Macaca fascicularis: one gene and its partner. The protein of the gene in region 2 binds, or shares a complex with, the protein of the main gene of each other region. Links are inferred from orthologs where the notes say so. Each region holds a gene or a part of one and is shown on either strand. Other genes may lie near its edges.

Region 1 (10,824 bases), on a different chromosome or scaffold from region 2:
TGATAAAAGTTAAAGACATTTTGGATTCAAAGAAGTTTGGTTCAAACCCCGCTTCACTCTGGGCAAGTTATTTTATCTAAAAGTCAGTCTTTTCTACACCTGGGATAATAGTTACAAGATTATTATAAGGACTAAAAGAGATCAGTATTGGTTAAATGATTTATCCAAGGTAACACTGACAGAAAAGGTAAGAGTTGGGATTTGAACAGAAGTCAGTTTAACTCCTCAAAGTCCTTAACCCTTTTCCTACACCGAGCTGAAGAATGACTACTGTGCAACAGGGAGAACTAAGAAATGCAAAAAGGCCTCACCATCTGAGGAACTACAGAAGCATGTCATCTAGCCTTCACACTGTACTTAGTGATAGCTTTTCACAAGTAAAGTCACAAAATACTATTGGAAAGCTGTCAATAGCTGGAGGCGCTTCAATAAGTAGTTTTGGTTATATGTTGTTATAATAGCTTAAACCTTCTACAGTGTAGAAAAAACTAGTATCATAGTCTTGGCTATTATGCATAGCTTAGTATAATAATTTATAAATAATGTGTATTATTTGAAGGTGTAGCTGATGGACCAAAGTGTAAAATGTAATCTATTTACACTTTTATTTTTCCTGAAGACTTGAATAGAAAATGCGAACGGTGGAATCCACCTTTCCAATGATGGCATACTCTTGCATTTTCAACTGTTGTTCTCAAGTATCAGTGCCTCTCAAATATCCCAAATTGTATAAGAGAGTAAACATGCATCTCCAGGGCTCTAGGGGTCAACAGCCAATCCAAAAAATACAGTACACTGGAGTCACATGTGTAGCTTTAAAATTTATGCAAAATTTTCAATCTATCACATAAATTATACTGTTTTAATAGCAATTGTTTTAAAAATGGCATCATTAGGAGAAAAAACCTCCAAACACTTCCTACCTACCTTATGTATTAAGGAAAGCGAGGCTACTGCATTGAGTTTACCAATTACAGAAAACCGATCTCAATTAAAATACCACTGATCAAACATTAGATTCAGCATCCAGAGTTTCTTCTCTCTGTCTTGGTTTCACAGAATTTTGAGAACTCTAACTTAAACATATATGCAGCTACCAATAGCCAATTAACTGGTAAAGAGGTAGTTCAATGCAACAATTTAAGGCGATTATTAAGGAAAATTTAATGACATTTTGTTACCTGAATGATCAAGTCACCTATTTTCTAGCTGATTAAAAGCATTTCCTTCTTATACTCAAGAAAACATGAAACCTTTTCAAGCAAATAAAGATAACCAATTATGACCTTTAAATTTTGTAATCAATGCTGAATTTTATCACATATAAAGCATTACTTTTAAAAATTGAGATATAATTCACATACCATAAAATTCATCACTTTACATTCAGTGGGTTTTGGTTGTATATCCACCATAACTGTCCAGTTTTAGAGCATTTTCATCACCCCAAAAAGAAACCCTGAACCCATTAGCATTCCTCCTTGACCCCAGTCCAGTCCCTGACAACCAATCTTCCTCTCCTCTCCTCTCCTTCCTCTTTCTCTCTTTTTTTTTTTTTTTTTTTTTTTGAGACAGAGTCTCACTCTGTTGCCCAGGCTGGAGTGCAGTGCAGCGATCTTGGCTCACTGCAAGCTCTGTCTGCCAGGTTCACGCCATCCTCCTGCCTCAGCCTCCCGAGTAGCTGGGACTACAGGTGCCTGCCACCATGCCCGGCTAATTTTTTGTATTTTTTTAGTAGAGACGGATTTTTACCGTGTTAACCAGGATGGTCTCGATCTCCTGACCTCATGATCCGCCCGCCTCAGCCTCCCAAAGTGCTGGGATTACAGGCTTGAGCCACCACGCCCGGCCCCTACTGTCTCTATAGACTTGCCTATTCTGGATGTTTCATACAAATGAAATCATATATGATCTTTTCTATCTGGCTTATTTCACTTAATATTTCAAGGTTCATCCATGTATATCACATATCAATCTGTACTTCATTACTTTTTATAGCTGAATAACATTTCATTGTCTGGATATACCACCTTTGTTTATCCATTCATCAGATGACAGACTTGGACTGTTTCAATTTTTGGCTATTACGAAGAATGCTGCTATGAACATCTATGTACAAGTTTTTGTGTGGACATACAGTTTTAATTCCCTTGAGTAGATATCTAGGAGAGGAACTGCTGCTCTATGTTTAACTTTTAGAAGTACTGCCATATCATTTTCCAAAGTGAGTACACATCATTTTACATTCCCCACAGCAGAACGTGAGGGTTCAATTTCTCCATATCCTTGGCAACACTTGTTACTGTCCAATATTAAGTTTACATGGTTCAAGTCCCCACAATGAACTCTCTTCATCCAATTCTCAAGCTTCATTTTCATTGTAATGATCTTGTCATGTGTCAAATACAATAAAAAAGTCCTAATTTTACTCTGAACATTCAGCCTTGAAGAAATGTCTGTTAAATAAATTAACTTTGTAAGCAATTCTTTTTTTTACATTAATATTTAATAGTATTTTATTTTATCCAGGTTTTCCCCCTCACTGAATTACATGCCATTATAACACCTTATTACTCCTACCTAGCAATTACAATCATCCACTTTTTTTTTTTTTTAGGAATGGGGTCTTGCTATATTTTTGGCTGGATTTGAATTCATGGGCTCAAGCAAATCTCCTGCCTCGGTCTCCCGAGTAGCTGGGATTATAGGCATGTACCACCATGCCTGGCTTTTTTTCCATATTTATTTGTCCATCTCTCTCAGTAGAGTATAAGGACTTGAGGCAGGGACCTTGTCTTTTTCTCTATTGTATCACCAGTGCATAACAATGCCAAGCATATAGCAGGTGCTTGATCTATTTGCTAACTAAACACATGACTTAAATAAGTACACTTCTGTATAGTTTGATTTTTTTAAACAATTCACAATCACATATTTTATGTATTTTAAAAATAAGAATTTTAAAATTCACTGGGTTTTTAAGGTTACAAATGCATTTAAAAAAAAGCAACCAACAAAAAGATGGGTCTCATCAAAGTTGCCAAGAAACCATGATCTGATTGGGTACAGTGGCCCATACCAGCTAGGCAGGTCAGTGACAGCATGATGCTTTAACACAGCAGTCCCCAACCTTTTTGGCACCAGGGACCAGTTTCATGGTAGACAATTTTTCCATAGGCAGGGGTGGTGGTGGGCAGCAGCGTAGGGGTGGTTTCAGGATGAAACTGTTCCACCTCAGATCATCAGGCATTAGATTCTCATAAGGAGCCCGCAACCTAGATCCCTCACATGCACAGTTCACAAAAGGGTTCGCAATCCTATAAGAATCTAATGCCACCACTGATCTGACAGGAGGTGGAGTTCAGGCATAATAATGCTTGCTCATTTGCTGCTCACCTCCTGTGCAAACCAGTCCCCAACAGGCCCCGGACTGCTACCCATCAGTGGCCTGTGGGTTGGGGACCTGTTTTAACGGAAGTAGGAATCATTCCCTGTACACCAACTGTGCCTGCAGTAATACAACAATGCTTCCCAGAAACCTTTAAGTATCACATTTTCCATTCACTTTTCTAGTTACCCATTCTGAGCTGCAAGAACACAAAAATGTTCTCTGACAGCTTTTATAGCAAACACAAAAACTGTCACGCTTACATAAGCAGAATATGAAAAAAAATTTAGCCATCATGGAAAGGCAGAATTTTGACTAATTTTGCTTGCATAGGCATGTAACAAAATGCCTCCTTGAAAAATCTTTGTAAAACTGATGCTCCAAGAAAGTGTGCCATAATTATCCTGTGGCTCCTGCATTCTTCCTGGTATTCTACCACATACTCTCAGGGGATGTACACTTGATATGAGAAGTATGAAAATATGTGACTACTGGTTCTTTCCATACAGAAGAATTCTTACTCAAGTACCTTTTTAAAAATAAAGAAGATTTTTGCTTTCTCAAAAAAAGATTTTTAAATGTCCATTATGACTCGGGCCCTTCTAATTCACACTGGAAGTCTAATTCATTACTGTAAGTAATCTGCAAAAAATAACCAAAGAAAGGCAAAATATTTGCTTTTGTGGACCCTTGAGAGATAGAAGAAATAAAGGTCACACCAGGCAAACTGACTCTAGCATCCATGTTATTAACCTCAATACTATACTGCGTAGCCAGGCAGCCTCCCTTTTATTTTAATCACCCATTTTCAAGGGCCCTATGAAGGAAATAGTTCATTATCTTTTCAAGGCGGGAAGTTAAACCAGGAATAATAAACTGCTCTCGAAGAGATCTCAACTGAGCCTAACTCACCCATAAAGTTCCAGCTAAGTTACTTTCATCAATATATTGGGCAGTACACTGTAAATTTATGTTAGGATGCAGGTAGTCTCCTGGACAGGCAAAAACTAAACAAAGTAACTTTTACTTCCGGTATAATATGTCATTACATTAACATTCATTCATTAGTCAAAGTAAGGTAAGAACATGCTTACTCATAGCAGCTTTTCCAAAAAAGTTGCTCATCATATTCCCTTTCCCTGGGGCCTTGTTGCCTGCTGAAGATGCCTACAAGCACAGAAAACACGTATGATTTTTTGCTAGCATTTAGGCTGTTCATGAAGTAGCAGTCTCAAACAATCTTTTCTATAGCACACTGCTGCGATAGTATAGTCTCTATATAATAGTGCCAAAATGCAGAGGCGTTAGATATAAGAACAAATCTAGAACAATAATCCACACCAGATAGTAACTGGTGTTAATCTCTAAAGCTTAGTTTCTTATAGATCTTATAAAATTAAGTACCCATGGATATGTCTAAACTTTTCTTGAGCACATTTAAAAACTATTTAATTTGACAGAATTAAAAAAGATCAGAGGCAGTATGTACACAAAGCGGGAAAACCTAAAACATTACATTTTTAATCATCAGAAGTAGATCTGAATTCCTGGTTCCCACCGTTTAGTAGCAATATGAGCTCCAGGCAAATTACTTAAGTCTAGGTTTCAGTTTCACCATATGTGAAAGGGAAATAGTTAATACCTCCCTCACAGAACTGATAAGAGGATTTGAACAAAGACCAAACTATTGGCACACAGCTGAAATTCAATAAACATTATTGTTTTCCTCCATCCTTCTTCCCCAAGACAGACACTTGAAAATGACAGTGATCTGAATTGAATACACTTGACACTTGAAAATGACAGTGATAATAATAGTAACAACAATAATTATACTTTTCTGGATTTTTAAAATAGTATTGGAATGATACTTTTCTTAAGTCAATGCCCTTAAGTTAGTTCAGATGACTGAACAATAAAAATCTAAGGGAAGCAAATAAAGCAAAAACAAAACAAAAAAACCCACATAAAGTATAATAAGAATGGGAAATACACTAGGAAGGAAGGTATATATTGCAAAGCCCAGAACATAAGATATTCCTCAGAATGACATATTGCAAATAAACATTTTTTTGAATGTTAACAATTTTAGAGGTGTTTTCACATGTTTTCATCTGGGTCTCACAACAATCTCGTTTGCAAAGGAAATCCAAGGCTTGGTGAGAATCATTATCAAAAGCAAAAGAACTCTTTCAGGTAACAGTATCAAGTATGAAAGCGTTCAAACTAAAGTAGAAAAATCAGAACTGAGTATCAGAACCTTACATAAATAAACTACTACCACTGGGACCATTAATGCTTTTCTAGTTACCCACTCTGAGCTGTAATGAAGGGTATCTTCAAAGAAGACTTACATTTGTTACTTCCTTAGCCTCTGTTTTAGCTTCCTTGTTGGTTTCTTGGGTTTTAGCAGTAGCTTTGGAGGCAAACATTCCCATAATTCCTTTGGGCTGCTGGGAAACCTGCTTGGATGCAGGTGGGCCATGACCATTGGTGGTCAGCTCATTGTTGGCTTGTGTCTCACTTGACATGTGAAGATGTGACTGCTCAAACTTTTTGGAAGATGAAGAAGATTCAGCAGGAGATCTAGGGACTGCAGCTGCACACTGTATAGCACTAAATCTAGGGACAGAAATGTTACATTAAGTTAATGTCAGCATATGCATTCTTGGGTGGTTCAACAAAAAAAAGAGAAAGAAAAAAAAACTAATGTCAGTATACAACCTTATTTTCAAATTCTTGCTTCTTCCACACAATACTTAACTCTAATATTGTTTAAAATCAACTTTAGAAAAATGTTGTATGAAACTCTCTATTACATAAAGAAACAAATACTAGAGAGAAGTGAGTCACTTGTACTAGGTCATACATCTAGTTAGTAACAGACAGGGTTGGAATTAGGTGCCTTCTACCACCATTAATTGAATATTCTTGCTTTTTTTGAAAAAAGTATCCTAATTCAAAAAAGAATGCAACCAACAATAATAAAAGACGCAGTAATTTCATTATCCTTGGGAAATGAAATAGCCCTTGTTTTTAAAGACCTTCCTCTGATAGGGCTAGATTTGCAATAAATATTGACTGAATCAAAACTAAGCTTTAAATATTAACAAATTTCCTGGCAACGCTCTTGGCCAGAGTAAATCATGCTGCAGGGTTGGGTGTACTGGCTCATGCTTGTAATCCCAGAGGTTTGGGAACCTGAGGTAGGCAGATCGTGTAAGTCTAGGAATTTAAGACGGCCTGGGCAACATGGTGAAACTTTGTTTCTACAAAAAACACAAAAATTAGTTGGGTGTGGTGGCACACGCCTATAGCCCTGATTACTCGGGAGGCCAAGGTAGGAGGATCACCTGAATTCAGGAGGTCCAGGTTGCACTGAGCCATAATCTCATCACTCAACTCCAGTCTAGGGAACAGAGTGAGACGCTGTCTCAAAATAAATAAACAAATCATGCTTTAAAACAAGTAAAAGGCTGGGTGTGGTGGCTCATGCCTGTAATCCCAACATTTTGGGAGGCCGAGGCAGGTGGATCATGAGGTCAGGAGTTCAAGACCAGCCTGGCACACGGCAAAACCCTGTCTTTACTGAAAATACAAAAGTTAGCTGGGCATGGTGGCACGTGCCTGTAATCCCAGCTACTCAGGAGGCTGAGGCAGGAGAATTGCTTGAACCTGGGAGGCAGAGGTTACAGTGAGCCAAGATCACACCACTGCACTCCAGCCTGGGTGACAGAGTGAGACTCTGTCTCAAAACAAAAAACAAAAAAAAGAAAAATAGGAGAAGCTGGGAGCAGAGCCACTGGCTCCAATAACCTATAGTCCTTGACAGCCATTTGTTAATAATTTCTAATAATACTAACGGCACCAGACAAGTAAGTATGCCCAAGGCCAAGAGAAGAAAATTGGTGGAACAGCTTGCGTGGCATATTAAAGGGAACATACATCTCTTCTCTAATCATTATAGAAGTGCCGTTTCACACAAATCCATAATGTAACATTCCACATTGTGAATAGGTAATTAATTTAGCCTTCTCACAGGATTATTTTCTTTGTTAGAAAAAGCAAAGTTCCCCAGCTTTTTCTAACAAAGAAAAATATTTTATTTTTCCCAGTCTTGCTTATTGAGCATACGTAAGAACTCCTTGAAGTCTTATTTATCTTTTTTATTTCAGGCACCCAGCTCAAGACCTGGCACAGAAAAGTGCTAGAAACAACATGTTGAAAGAATGACTAAGTGAATGAAAGTGAGGCTTCTGGCTTCTCTCCCTTCTTTAGTGTATCACCTTCAACTTGGGGTGGGAGATTTCTAAACTATGTGGTGATAGCAATTATCTTAAAGATCAACCAGGCACAACTTCGAGATTAACTGCTAGAACACCTGGTCTAATGAAAAAAAAAAAGAAAATCCCTGATACATCATTTCATCTCAGAAGTAACTTTAGACTGGACAGCCCCAAAGCTAGAGTCAAAAGCTCCAAAAATCTTCCACTGATTTATTATGGTCTTCATCAGAAAACTCTGTATTTACACACATCTTTTGTGCATCAGAGTTAAGAACAGATGGAAATCATTTGCTTTCACCCACTGCTCTTCCTCTCTGGCCTTGCAGTACTTCCACATACAAGGAAAAGGGTAATGTTTTATTTCACTGTCAATGTCTGAAGTTGGCGTTGAAACAACTCTTTCTCCTTCTGGTTTGAATTCCACACCTTAGGGTCAGGACCAGGAATTGGCAATGAGGAAGAGACCGAGTTAGGCTGGGAGTATGTCTGATGACAAGAGATCTCTGGTCAATCCTAAAATTTCAACTTTCTTCATGTCACGGCACTTAAAACACACGAAATCATGAGTCAGATCTCAGTTGGCCCATAATTCTCAGGACCAAATACAAACTCATTTGTTGGAGATAAATTCACTTTTCTACTGAGGATACTTTAAGTAATTAGGTAAAGTTTCACTGAAGTGCTTCCTATTACCACATTTCTACTTGCCATGTTTATTTTAGTGGGCCCTGGCAGATTTCATTTTGAACTTTTGCGTCACGTTTATTCTTGTTTGCTTACTTGCTAGATACAACAAAGGAACTGATTTTTAGAGCCTGGAATACCCAACTAGATTTTAAAATTTTTTGAAATCTAGTAATATATTTCAAATAAACTTATCAGGGTGTTAATATTTTCTTGAAATCCTTCCCTAAAAGACAAGAGACTTGTAAATTATTACTCTTTGGCTATACATTTGTTTATTTAATAAATATTTGTATACTTATGCTCAAGGTTTTGAGCTAAAGAAAAAAAAGAACTAATGTCTATCACTAATTCACTCAATAACTACTTATTAGTGTGCCAGGCACTATTTTGGGTATATAGTTAACAACTGAGACACGATCCCTATTCTCATGGAACTTACAGAAACTATGGCAATTCTGTCTCTCTCTCTCCCTGAGGACCCATCTTTATCAGTCATCCCACCTCCCCAGGATTTTCAGCCTTTTCTTCTCTATAGCACCCTCCTAACAATCCAAGTTCAAGTCATTCTCAACTTTAGAAACGTATATATCCTTCCCGTCTCAATCCCTCCTTAGCTACCACCCTCTTTTCTGCTTTGCAGTCAAATCTCCTGGAAAGATCTGTCCATATTTGCTGTCTCACTTCCTGTGTTCCCATTTACTTAGCTCACCAGAATCTGGTCACTCCACTGAAAATGCTCTTACCAAGGCTATCACTAAATTCCATGGATAATTTTCACTTTCTAACTTACTTGGCTTCTCAGCAACGTTTAACATTGTTGACTGGTCCCTCCTACTTGAATCTCTTTCCTTAGGGGCTAAAACCCCATATACTCTTATCTCTGATGGCTCCCTCTTGAGCCCCCCTTTTTCTGTTCTTCCCTTGAAAAGCAACTATCATTAAATAGTGCTTACTATGTGCCAAGTGCTATTCTAAGTGCTTAACATATAATAGTCCATTTAATCCTCTACAACCCTATTTGGCTGGTACTATTATCAGCTTTACTGACAAGAAAATTGAGGCACCGAGAAGTTAAATAATTTGCCCAAGGTCACGCAGCTAGTAATTTGGCCTAGAGTTTTACTTTCTGCCCTTCTTTCATTCTATACATTCTCTCTGCATAACTATCTACTACTATGGCCCAGTTACTATTCTTTCTGATTCCAAAATCTCTCTTTAACCCAGATTTCTCTCCTTAGCTCTAGATTCACCTATCTTTTGCGATGGACATCCTCACTTGGATTTCTCACAGGCTTCTCAAACTCAACATCTCTAAAACCCAATTTGTCATTTTTCTCTCTCTCCTAAAGCCTGCTCCTCCTGTTATATTCCCCTTCTTAGTACTCAGCTGCCCAAGCCAGAAGCAGGGGTATCAAACTTTTAATACCAAGAAAGGCTATCTTCCCCCATCCCCTACCCCCACACACCTTGTCCCTGACCACTACCATACATTGAGGTTGTTTTTTATTTTTTTTTGAGACAGAGTCTCGCTCTGTCGCCCAGGCTGGAGTGCAGTGGAGTGATCTCGGCTCACTGCAAGCTCCGCCTCCCAGGTTCATGCCATTCTCCTGCCTCAGCCTCCCGGGTAGCTGGGACTACAGACGCCTGCCACCACGCCCGGCTAATTTTTTGTATTTTTAGAAGAGACAGGGTTTCACCGTGTTAGCCAGGATGGTCTTGATCTGACCTTGTGATCCACCAGCCTCGGCCTCCCAAAGTGCTGGGTGCTGGGATTACAGGCATTAGCCACCACGCCCGGCCACGTCAAGGTTTTTTGATGGTCATGACTCATTAAACTTCACACCTCTCCATCCCCAACAGCACAACTTTACATCAGAAAACTGTCGTATCCACCTGGATCACAGCCACATTTCTCCTCCCAGATGGCCTTGCCTCCAGATTATTCTCTTCTGATCTATCTTCAATACTGCAGCCAGAACAATCTTTCTAAAATGCAATTTTGATAATTTCACTCCATCTGCTTAAATATTTTCAGTGGCTCCCCAGTGCTCTCAGAATAGAGTCTAAATTTTTATCCTAGTAATCAAAGCATAATGTAATTCCTGCTTGGCCTTTTTAGTCTTCTATCTAATTATTTCCTACCTTTCACTCTAAGTTGCAGCCACAGAAAACAATTGTGGTTCTGCACAAGCATGTTTTCTCTCTTAGCTCTGTCCTTAGCCTCTCATTTCTCCTTTGCTTGGCTATTTCTATTGGGCCTTCAAGCCTCAAGTGAGATGTTATAACCTTCAGTGTCATAAGTCATAACTGTCTTGTCCCCTGACTCTATCCATCCAAAAGTGGGAGATAAGTGCCCCAGCCAACATCTTCCCCCAATATTCCTCCTATTACAGCACTCTTACACTGTATCATAACTCCTGTCTCCCATCAGTTACATGAAAAGGTACACGGGCACATTCACTC
Region 2 (10,824 bases):
TTTGCAAAGCACATTATCTCCTGTCATTCTTACAGCCGTCGTGAAGGGAACAGGGTGTTGGTGGTGCCAGCCTAATTTACCAAAACATTACACTGTGAGACCTTAAGGGATGAATGAAGGATCGCACTGCCATGACTTTTAAAACAGGCTTTTGCTCCAGTTCTTATTTCAGTTGTCCAGCCATGGCGCCTGTGATTGGCATGAATTCTTCAGCATGCATTGTAATATGTTATTTTACAGTTTGTTGACATCGGAATAGTAACAAGTATTGAAATAAACCATAAACAAGTAGATGTTGCAAAAAAAGGACAAGAAGTCTGTGTAAAAATAGAACCTATCCCTGGTGAGTCACCCAAAATGTTTGGAAGACATTTTGAAGCTACAGACATTCTTGTCAGTAAGGTAAGCATTTCGGCAAAAGTGGCAGACTTTAAGAAATGGGGAATCACTCTTCTCGGGTCACCTGTGCCCAGAAGCTCCTTGGGCTTCAGTTTGATTGTAGTATCTGATGGGACTGGATCCCCCATTAGGGCCTGACCTTTAGCTGGGCCTTGTCTTTTGAGGAAGTTGCCCCATCAGGAAAGCAGCACCAACAGAGAAAGCTAGGACTTTTAGATCCCCTTGTGCCTGACATACCAACCAGATGTGATTTCGGAATTCTACTCCCTTAGGCAGGCAAGCCCTGTATAAGCTTTATTACGGTGAGAGCGGGCGTCTGGGGCCACAGCTTTCTTTGGCACATGTTTGTTACGTTCTGTTTACCCTGTTTGTGCCTCGGGCATTGCAGATCAGCCGGCAGTCCATTGATGCACTCAAAGACTGGTTCAGAGACGAAATGCAGAAGAGTGACTGGCAGCTTATTGTGGAGCTGAAGAAAGTATTTGAAATCATCTAATTTTTTTCACACGGAGCAGGAACTGGAGTAAATGCAATACTGTGTTGTAATATCCCACCAAAAAATGGAACAGACGTATCTGGACACTGATGGACTTAAGTATGGAAGGAAGAAAAATAGGTGTATAAAATGTTTTCCATGAGAAACCAAGAAACTTACACTGGTTTGACAGTGGTCAATTACATGTCCCCACAGTTCCAACGTGCCTGTTCACTCACCTCTCCTTTCCCCAACCCTTCTCTACTTGGCTGCTGTTTTAAAGTTTGCCCTTCCCCAAATTTGGATTTTTATTACAGATCTAAAGCTCTTTCGATTTTATACTGATTAAATCAGTACTGCAGTATTTGATTAACCAAGCTTCTGCAGATTTTGTGATTCTTGGGACTTTTTTGATGTAAGAAATACTTCTTTATTTATGCATATTCTTCCCACAGTGATTTTTCCAGCATTCTTCTGCCATATGCCTTTAGGGCTTTTATAAAATAGAAAATTAGGCATTCTGGTATTTATCTGCTTTGTGTGAAACCACGGTGTAAAAGCACAGCTGGCTGCTTTTTACTGCTTGTGTAGTCATGAGTCCATTGTAATCATCACAATTCCAAACCAAACTACCAATAAAGAAAACAGACATCCACCAGCAAGCTCTGTTAGGCTTCCATGTTAGTGTAGCTTCTCTCCCACAAGCTGTCCTCCTAGGATAAGAATTATCTTACCAACTATCACACTACCTTGTATGCCAGCACCTGGTAACAGTCGAGATTTTTATACATTAATCTGGATCTGTTTTGTCTTAGAAAATTCCATTATACATACATCTCCTGGTATTTGGGCTTAGTGCTTCTAAATTGTTGCGGACACAACTTAATGATTCATTCATAGTAGTAATCTGTAGCTAGTTTTAGGGTTTTGTTGAAGTCAGTGTGGGGTGTTTGAGGAAAAAGTTCCAAATATCCACTAGCACAGAATTTTAAACTACATTTTTATTTTAAAGTTACGGCATAACATAGCATAAAAATATTTTATATCCGTTTGAAAATCTATACCGTTCTTTTTTATCATCAAAGTTTCTCAATGGCCAGTAGAGGCAAAGACAACATCACCTCTGATCTATGGGACATAATGTTCCCAAGAAAAAATCTTCAAGTGGGTGTGAGGGTGTTTCTAATTCAAAATATGTAGATTTCTCCACATGGAAGAAGTAAAGATTTTCTTAACATGCTCCTGTGTTCATGCTTGGAGACAAGAATAAGATGGTTTAGAGGCTTTACCCTTTCTTGGAACAAGTAGAATCCCGGTCTGAGACCTCTCAGGAATTTCAGAGCTTAGCAGTCTGGCCTGGAGGTTTTTCAGCCTTTTAGTATAATAAACAGTAGTTGCTTCCTAGAGTTGAGTTTTTAAGGATTCACAAAAAGGAGCCTGTACAAAATATACATACAGTTCTTTATTAAACAACTGTAAACACTTCACTGTAAAAATCCATAAAACTTTATAAACAAACATTTTGTAAATAGAATCTATGCTACAGTAAAAGAATTAACACAATTATTTACATGCAATACTGACAAATTTGGCACTTTTTGAAAAGAAATGTACAAAACACTTGCTTTAAAAGAAATTTAAAATTATAAAAACTCCAAGCATTACTATCATGCACTTTGCAAATACCTCACAAGCACTTATGGCACAGCGATCGGAGAGCACCAGGCTCCCTGGTAATATTTATGTAACTTTTAATGTGCTTCCGTACGTTTGTTGTAAAACCACCTGAACATTGTCAAGAATAAAGTCAAACGCCATATTCCAAACTGATTCCACCGATTGCTGCATCAACCTAAAGGTGGGGAGAGAAGAAATGCCATCAGGAAAAGTCCTTAAGACTATTCCTTTTTAAAAATAAAAATTGATTTTGGCGAAAAAAAAAAAAAAACAAAAAAAAACAACTCATGCCTGTAATCCCAGCACTTTGGGAGGCCGAGGTGGGCAGATCACCTGAGGTCGGGAGTTGGAGACTAGCTTGGCCAAACATGGTAAAACCCTGTCTCTATAGAAAATACAAAAATTAGCTGGGCGTAGTGGCACATGCCTATAATCCCAGCTACCCGAGAGGCTGAGGCAGGAGAATCACTGGAACCCAGGAGGCAGAGGCTGCAGTAAGCCAAGATGCCACCACTGCACTCCAGCCTGGGTGACAGAGTGAGACTTCATCTCAAAAAATAAAATCCTAGAACACTAAAAAAAAAAAAAAAAAAAAGCTTGTTTTGAGACAAGCTGTCAGGCTGGAGTGCAGTGGTACAATCATGGCTCACTGCAGCCTCTACCTCCCAAGTAACTGGGACCACAGGTGGGCACCAACCACGCCCAGGTTATTTTTTTTTTTTTTTTTTTGTATTTTTTTAGTAGAGATGGGGTTATGCCATTTTGGCCAGGCTGGTCTCAAAACAATGCACCCACCTCAGCCACCCGAAGTTAAGTGCTGTGATGACAGGCGTGAGCCACTGCGCCCAGCCCACTTCCTGTGGTCTTCTAATCACATGTAAGACTTGAGGGCGACACACTTGGAACCTCATTTACTACTTAGTCAACATGACAGAATAATGGATATCACTTTTTCATTAACCCTAATGAGGACAGTTTCCTAGAAAGTTTAAAACTTCTCAGTACACCCTCACTTAGCCATTGTGACATGCCATTTTTTCCCATTTGATAAAAGTGATGAATTACTACCTTTTCATGTATTTTATAACTAGATCCAGTTTTTCCAAATCTTTTTCTTCTATTAGATCAGTACAATATTTCACAACTTGGAGAATGTCTTCTTCCATTGGATCTAGGAAGGGGAAAAACTTCAAATGAGGACCAGTATATCTTTTTGAAGGAGAAAGTCAGAAATCTACACGGATAAAGGAAAACTGCCTTTCTACAAGTACGCCGCTAACAGCTATCAAAGGAATGGGCTTTGTTACTTGTCAAAGCAAGCCCCAGAATTTAAAAGATACTGGGGTAGCTGCTTTAAGCTTATTAGAGTTAGAGAAATGGGTTAAATCTACATAGTTTAGTCTGTTTATGTTCTCAAATCATGAGACGACTACATCTCAGCCTTGGGCCATCTAACAGGCCAAGCCAACCTGAAATTGTAGTTATCCATTCTCTGAGCAAGGTCTTCACATCATTGAATTCAACAGCTCCAGCTAGATTGGGTGCTGGAGGTCTCACACAGCCAGCTGGGTCAGACTGCAAACTAGAAAGGCCTGGCACACCTGAAGTAGAAGCAGAGAGTTCTTCCTGTTAAGAAAACAAAGGATAAAATTGCTATATTCACACATTATCCGGGTACATTAAGATCTCATAAAGGTCAAAGTTAAAGAATTACCAGGGGTTTCTCTGCAGGAGTTCCTTCATGTTTTAGAAACCCATCAATTAACTTCTGGGGACTGCCACAGGCCCCTGGCAGAGTTTTTGCAGGACTGTTTGGCAGCTTGTTTTTCAAAGGACTCTGAATCCTTTTTGGGGAACCGATGGTTTTTTTTTTCTTGTTTCTTTTCTTTTCTTTCACTGCTGCCTTTAGATGAAGTAAAGGATTCTTTGGCACTAAGAGAAGATAGATAGATACAAGATCCTCAACAAACTGATAGTATGGATAGTCTGGATGATAGTAGGTTGGGTTCTCTTTTCTCCTCCCGGATACAACAGGCTCCCTAGCCTACACCTCCCCTCCTGCCCCAAGTGAGAGGCAGTGAATGGCCATGGCCGAAAGTGCAGGCTCTCCAATTCTCTCTTTGCTTTGCCACTTACTAATTCGGCCTTTGGCATGTTGCTCATCTGTGATGGGTAGTAATAAATGTGGGTTTGGTGTTTGTGATGCATTTTGAACCTACATCCTTTGATTTATTCATCTCAAAGGACAACTAGCTGAACAAGTATTCAAGACACTTCTGGTAATGTCCTATCCCAACTTTTTAAAAAAGTAGTAAGTGGTGTGTTTAAATCCTGAAAGTACAGACACAAATCCAACTAAAATATGACAATATTTACTCATACTGTAAACTTCAGATATTATCCCAATATAAAGAGCTCTTAATGCAACGAACAGCTTAGACTTTGGCCATTATATACTGCAATAATTAGACAACAGTGACTCCATTACTCTTTATCTTCATTTTTGTTACATGCCACTTCCAAGGCTCACCAGATGCGCTGGCTGACTGCTGGTGGCTGCTGTTCTCGCCCTGCCTTTGTCTTTGATCATATGCTGCTTTCAGCTCCCTTTGAAGTTCAGCAGGTAGGGCAGCAAATACCTCAGGGTCCACCTAGTGGAAAAGACAAGGTCAAAGTCAAACCTGAACTCCCTTCTAGATGGTAGCTGGTTTAACTTTTTTCACAAAATAGATTTTGTTTTCAAATCTTACTTTTCTGATCTGTACGAATTCTTAACGGTTCCTTAATATCAAAGCTGATTAAATCTTCAAAATGGTTAGAGCAAGAACAAGGAATTAAGAGTACTAACTTAAAAAAAACCACTACAACAGCAGAACAACCTGGGCAAAATGCACTAGTAGAAAATGGGAAGCAAAACATGAAAACAGGAGCTCGGGTTGTTGCTGCCCCCATGTAGGATTACACATCTCCACTCTGCTGTATTCAAGTGTGGCCACTGATCTGTTTGCGCCAGATCAATGTGCTTCTGTCTTATCGTGCCCTCCCCCGTCTCTTCCCTCTGCTGGCTTCAGCAGGAGGCTGCTCGGAGTGTCTACATCCTGCAGACGCAGGAGATGGAGACAAGCCCACTCTTCCCTCCCTCCCCTTCCCAGTGGAAGTGGTGTCAGATACGGGAGAAAGGGAAGTGAGACAGGTCCTGAGCTGGAGCAGGGGGGTGAGAATACTGAAACTACAGCAGAGGGTTCCCATATTTAACTTACCTGTGAAAATGCTGGAAGGGCTATTACATTTATTCCTGTGTCACTGTTCGATTCTTGATGTTCTGGTATTTGCAACAAGACTGTCCCAACTGGTTGTGGCAAAATTCCTGTGTTACAGCCATTCACTGGTTCTTTCCTTTTGTCACCATGTGCCTCTGCTTGCTGGACAGCACAGACTTGCTCTACTTGTTCCCGGAGATCAGGTGGAAGTGCTTCTAAAACAGACTGATCCAGCTATAAAATGCCAAACATATGAGTTTGAAGTTTATTAAAGCATGCTCAGAGAGGAGGTGTTTGGGAGTTAACATGCCACTTTCCATTTCAATTTGAACACTGGATAATCAATGTAAGGTACAGACAGACCATCAGGCTAGGAAAGCCACCCCTAAATCAGCACATTTTTGGAACGTCTTGGCCTTTTGTCATTGAAGCCTGAAGTATGTGTAGTCTGGAGAAAAGTGTATATACTACTGGCCACTACCATATGACCAGGTAAGTCCAAATATACTCACAGAATGTCCTGCAATTGGGGCCAACAGATATGGATACCTTGGTGAAGCTCAAATTAGATCCCACCCCTGGGGAGGGGTGAAGGCCTGAGGCACATGTTAAAATTCTGGACAGGTTAACAGTCCTGAGTCAAAAGTTCACCTCTCAGATGAGAGACTGCCCAAAAATACAGATAATTCTACTCTGAGAGCAGCACACTGGAAGAAAGGGTTTCTAGAAGCTGAATTTTCTCTAACTTGCAGGACGGAGCCCACTGTTCCTTTGACCAGGGCCTCCCTCCATCTGTCCATGCACATCTGGCCCTCTGCAAACATACAATCCCGTCAACTTGGGTAGGCCAATCTTACCTGCCAGGAGTAACTAATTGTGGGTATCTGTCACCATACAAGCATATCAGCATTGCCCCTTCCCCTAGTTTTACAGCCAGTATGTAACATCTCCTGCCTCCTTCCATGCAGGGGGAGCGGGGGCACAAATGAACTTGCCCAATATAGCTTAAGGTGCTACCTTACTTTCAAGGACCAAAGGATGCCAGCAGCATATCACATGTACAGCCCACACAAGCTGAATTAAACCATCCAAAACTCCAGAGACCTGTTTGCAAATACTGCAAAAGCCCTTTGACATAAGGCCTCTACTTCACCACTAATCACCAAAGCTGCCTTGCTGAATACAGTAAGTCTACATGATGACCACTGTCACAGACAATGGCAGTCCACAGGAGGACTGCCTTTCAGCTATGCTTTACAACTTGCAAGAGTGGCAAATCTTTGCAAAAGCACTTTCATTCAACCCAATTATTGCTTATTTAGAATCCAACATCATGATCTACCCGAACAAGTGACCCATTCTCCCTTTCTTGGTTAAATGAAGAAATAAAAATGCCATTTTCATTTGTAAACTTATATTTTTGTACTTATATTTAAGAGTATAAAATGTACTTATATTTAGGACTATAAAAATGTACCTGGGAAGGTGACGGGACCTCTATACTCAGGTTAAGTCTTGACTGCACACTGACAGGAGAATGCAGACCGTTCCATTTCCCTGAAGACTCGGCCTTGTTAGTATCAGGACTGGTCGGCAGATGTGCGGGAAAAGGTGGCAAAGTGCAAGTTCTAGAAGCAGATGATATTTCCAGATCCACAGCAGTCCGAAATACTACGAAGAGAAAATACATAAAATAGCCTCTTCAGATCATCGGGCAGGGCCTTTAATCCCTGATTTCCTCTGTCCATTACAAATAAAAAAACTTTATTATTGATACATCATAATGAAGAATATAATTTTTTTAAATCACATAAAGCTGTGTCAAGTTTAAAACCAACTGCCGTCTTTCCAAGGACATAAGCAGCACCTAAACGAGAACCCCACTGATGACCACCAACCTTCTTTGTGCTCCTCTTCTGTGGATTTCTTAGCTTTCTGAACTTGGAAGATATCACGGACAGAGTATGACCCACCAGGAAAGTGGCTCGACTGAACTGATGGGCGACTGGGACATGTGGAAGGGTTCAGATTAGTTGGAACCAACTGATTCACGTGAATCCCAACCTAGAACCCAGAATAAAGAGTATGCTTCCAGGAAAACTAAAGTAAAATATGAATTCAGCTAAGCAAAATCCTCAGCAAATCCTTTTCACTACCTCCTAGATCCTGTTTCTAGAATAAAGGTAAATGAAAGTATTCAAACAACAGCATTCTATATGAGTTATTACAAAAACAGTTTCTAGACTAGCTAGTGAGTGGTCATTCATCTCAAACTTCAGAGTATCCAATTCTCCCAAAATATACCAAAACGTCTTTAAAATCAGAAAATCCAAACAAGTGGAATACTGTATTTCACTGATGTTCTGGTCAACTAAGGTTTTAAATTAGGATAAAAAAAAAATTAAGAGAGGACAGGCTACTTGGAAACTTAACTATTTTTATCTTTTTAAAATGAAATACTTCTCAAAAAATACTGGTGGGACTGGTGAACAGCAGGCACACCACAGACCCCTCTATAAAGTGCCACTGTAACAGTATTTCAGGGAGAAATTACAATTATGGCCGGCTTAGTGACTAATCCTTCAACAAAGTCCACAATCAAGCCAGAACAACCCTTAACTTACACACGCACACAATAAACTAAACCTACAAAGGTTCTTTTTTTTTTTTTCCTCTTTTGAGACACAGCCTCATTGTGTCACCCAGGCTGGAGTGCAATGGCATGATCTTGGCTCATGCAAGCTCTGTCTCTTGGGTTCAAGTGATTCTCCTGCCTCAGCCTCCCGAGTAGATGGGACTATAACAGCATGTACCACAACACCCGGCTAATTTTTGTATTTTTAGTAGAGATGGGGGCCAGACACAGTGGCTCATGCCTGTAATCCCAACACTTTGAGAGGCCGAAGCGGGCGGATCACCTGAGGTCAGGAGTTTGAGACCAGCCTGGCCAACATGGTGAAACTTCGTCTCTAAAAATACAAAAGGGCGTGGTAGCGGGTGCCTGTACCCACAGCTACTCGGGAGACTGAGGAAGGAGAACTGCTTGAACCCAGGAGGTGGAGGTTGCAGTGAGCTGAGATCGCGTCACTGTACTCCAGCCTGGGCAACAGGGCAAAAACTCCGTCTCAAAAAAAAAAAAAAAAAAACCCACACAAAAAATCTATGGTTTTGACATTTTGATGCCTCTTGCCTGTTTCAAAGGCATCTTGTTGTGCCTGTGGTTTCACTCCCTTCTAGGTCATCATATGGCAGACAGCAGAGTATGTTTCTGATTAAAAAGGAACTTAAAGGCACAAAATTTATGTATTCATACTCCTCAGTCATATCTACTTCTAGGAAACAAGAACAGGGAGGACATGTATATTAGCCCCTGGTTAATTAGGGATACCTTGGAAAAGCACAGTAAGAATCTGAGAAAATTATTCTAAAATGAAGAAGATCAAAATGGAGAAAGTCAAGAATTTTTGTTTCTCTTTTCCTTATATCACAAAGCAGCTAAAGACCTACATATAAAGTCCCTATATGCCAGCAATAACCATTCTGAGAGCAAGCCTCAAATGACACAAAAATTACAGAAAGTCAGAATTTACAATGTTACTATACACTTACCCCTCTCATGTCTGATATATTTAGTTTCATTGTATGAAACATGTTTAGCATCGCCTTTCCAATTATTTTTGCATTATCTGTTGCCTGGTCAAGAGTTACAGTCCTGTAAGTGATAGAATTATACAACAAAAGCTTCATTCCATATGTATTCACTAGTACTAAAGTAGTATGGAACGGTTTAAAAGAGTTACAGAAAAGTTGTAAACAGTTACAAAGATTATAAAAGTGAATGCCACAGTCCCCCTTCCAGGAAGCCAGAAATACCAAATTAGTTACACTGGCAAAGAAGGGGGAAAGGAAAATTATGGAACACTGGAACTTCAAGGTAATAACGATAACGGACACCTGGGTCAACTACAAATCAGTTGAGAAATTTAGAAAAAGGCATAATTTAGCTAACACATGCACAAATGAATACATATTTTCCAGCTAAAGCACAAATGAATGGTAAACACAATGTTCTTGATTCCAAGAGAAGTTTTAGGTTCCAAGATTATGTATGCTGAGGTACAGCAAATATTCAGAAGAGAAAGATGAATTCTCGGTATGTTGTTTCTTGACTCTCCTTCGTGTTTACAGTAAAGCCAATAAACAATTCTTAGATCTTTAAGAACTCTTGAGAGAGGACCAAATGATCCGTCAGCATTACTTGGTCCCAAAGATGTGATGACCTCACCCACCATTTCCTTCAGAGCTGTTTGAGCTTCTCTGGCATGAGCAGGGTGTCCCATTACAAACAGAATTACTCACTCAGTAACAGATCACAAATTACTACCAGTTCTCTTTCCAAAGGAAAGTTATTTCGTGTTTTAGATTAATGAACAAATGAAGTTCCAGGCCTTTAAACAAGAAATAGTCCCAGAAAAAAAATACTATAAATTGAATCTGATTTTCCCATAGAAATGTTTAAGAAGACAATCGCATTACTTCATCTGCTTATAGAAATGACCACTAAAAACTGGGCACAGTGGCTTACACCTGTAATCCCAAAACGTTGGGAGGTCAAGGCAAAAGGATTGTTCAAGGCCAGGCCTGGGCAACAGGGCAAGATCCTATCTCTACATAAATAAGTTTTTAAATAAATAAATGACCACTATTTACTATTTGAGATACATGTATATATCGTAACACTTCAGTAAATATAATTCAAGATAACCAACTGATAAAAAATGTATTTCATAAATCATGTTGTCTAATTGTAATTTGTAATTCCTGCTTTCATGGTAACTTGGGAGTTTCTCTGTTTAAGAGCCGTCATCTCATGACTTAGCAATATCATCATATACATGAATGCACCATGTATGGTTGGCATGAGCTAATCTTCAATGAAACTGTACTTCATAGTTCCTTATAAGTAGCTTTCAAAAGTGTCAAAAGCCTCAAAACTTTGGTTTCACAGATGAC

What was found.
Region 1: the proteins of REV1 (region 2) and POLD3 are in contact, whole or in part, in an NMR structure (PDB 2N1G), measured with the Homo sapiens proteins. The link is inferred for Macaca fascicularis from reciprocal best matches to the Homo sapiens genes REV1 and POLD3. Residues at the interface, in NP_057400.1 of Homo sapiens: Asn1158, Leu1159, Ala1160, Gly1161, Leu1171, Leu1172, Glu1174, Trp1175, Ile1179, Met1183, Glu1184, Glu1185, Asp1186, Gln1189, Val1190; in NP_006582.1 of Homo sapiens: Gly232, Asn233, Met234, Met235, Ser236, Asn237, Phe238, Phe239, Gly240, Ala242, Ala243, Met244.

Annotation. Positions count from the first base shown.
Region 1 is NC_088388.1:73,484,941-73,495,764, reverse strand, and holds part of POLD3 (DNA polymerase delta subunit 3), read right to left. Parts: intron 6,011-10,824; coding exon 5,743-6,010; intron 4,556-5,742; coding exon 4,483-4,555; intron 1-4,482. UniProt on the Homo sapiens protein: Accessory component of both the DNA polymerase delta complex and the DNA polymerase zeta complex.
Region 2 is NC_088387.1:3,895,284-3,906,107, forward strand, and holds the end of REV1 (DNA repair protein REV1), read right to left. Parts: intron 9,524-10,824; coding exon 9,421-9,523; intron 7,876-9,420; coding exon 7,710-7,875; intron 7,483-7,709; coding exon 7,289-7,482; intron 6,046-7,288; coding exon 5,812-6,045; intron 5,203-5,811; coding exon 5,082-5,202; intron 4,484-5,081; coding exon 4,266-4,483; intron 4,178-4,265; coding exon 4,021-4,177; intron 3,723-4,020; coding exon 3,620-3,722; intron 2,727-3,619; coding exon 2,615-2,726; 3' UTR 2,317-2,614; downstream 1-2,316. Other genes in the region: EIF5B (eukaryotic translation initiation factor 5B), read left to right, coding at 241-402, 788-895. UniProt on the Homo sapiens protein: Deoxycytidyl transferase involved in DNA repair. Transfers a dCMP residue from dCTP to the 3'-end of a DNA primer in a template-dependent reaction.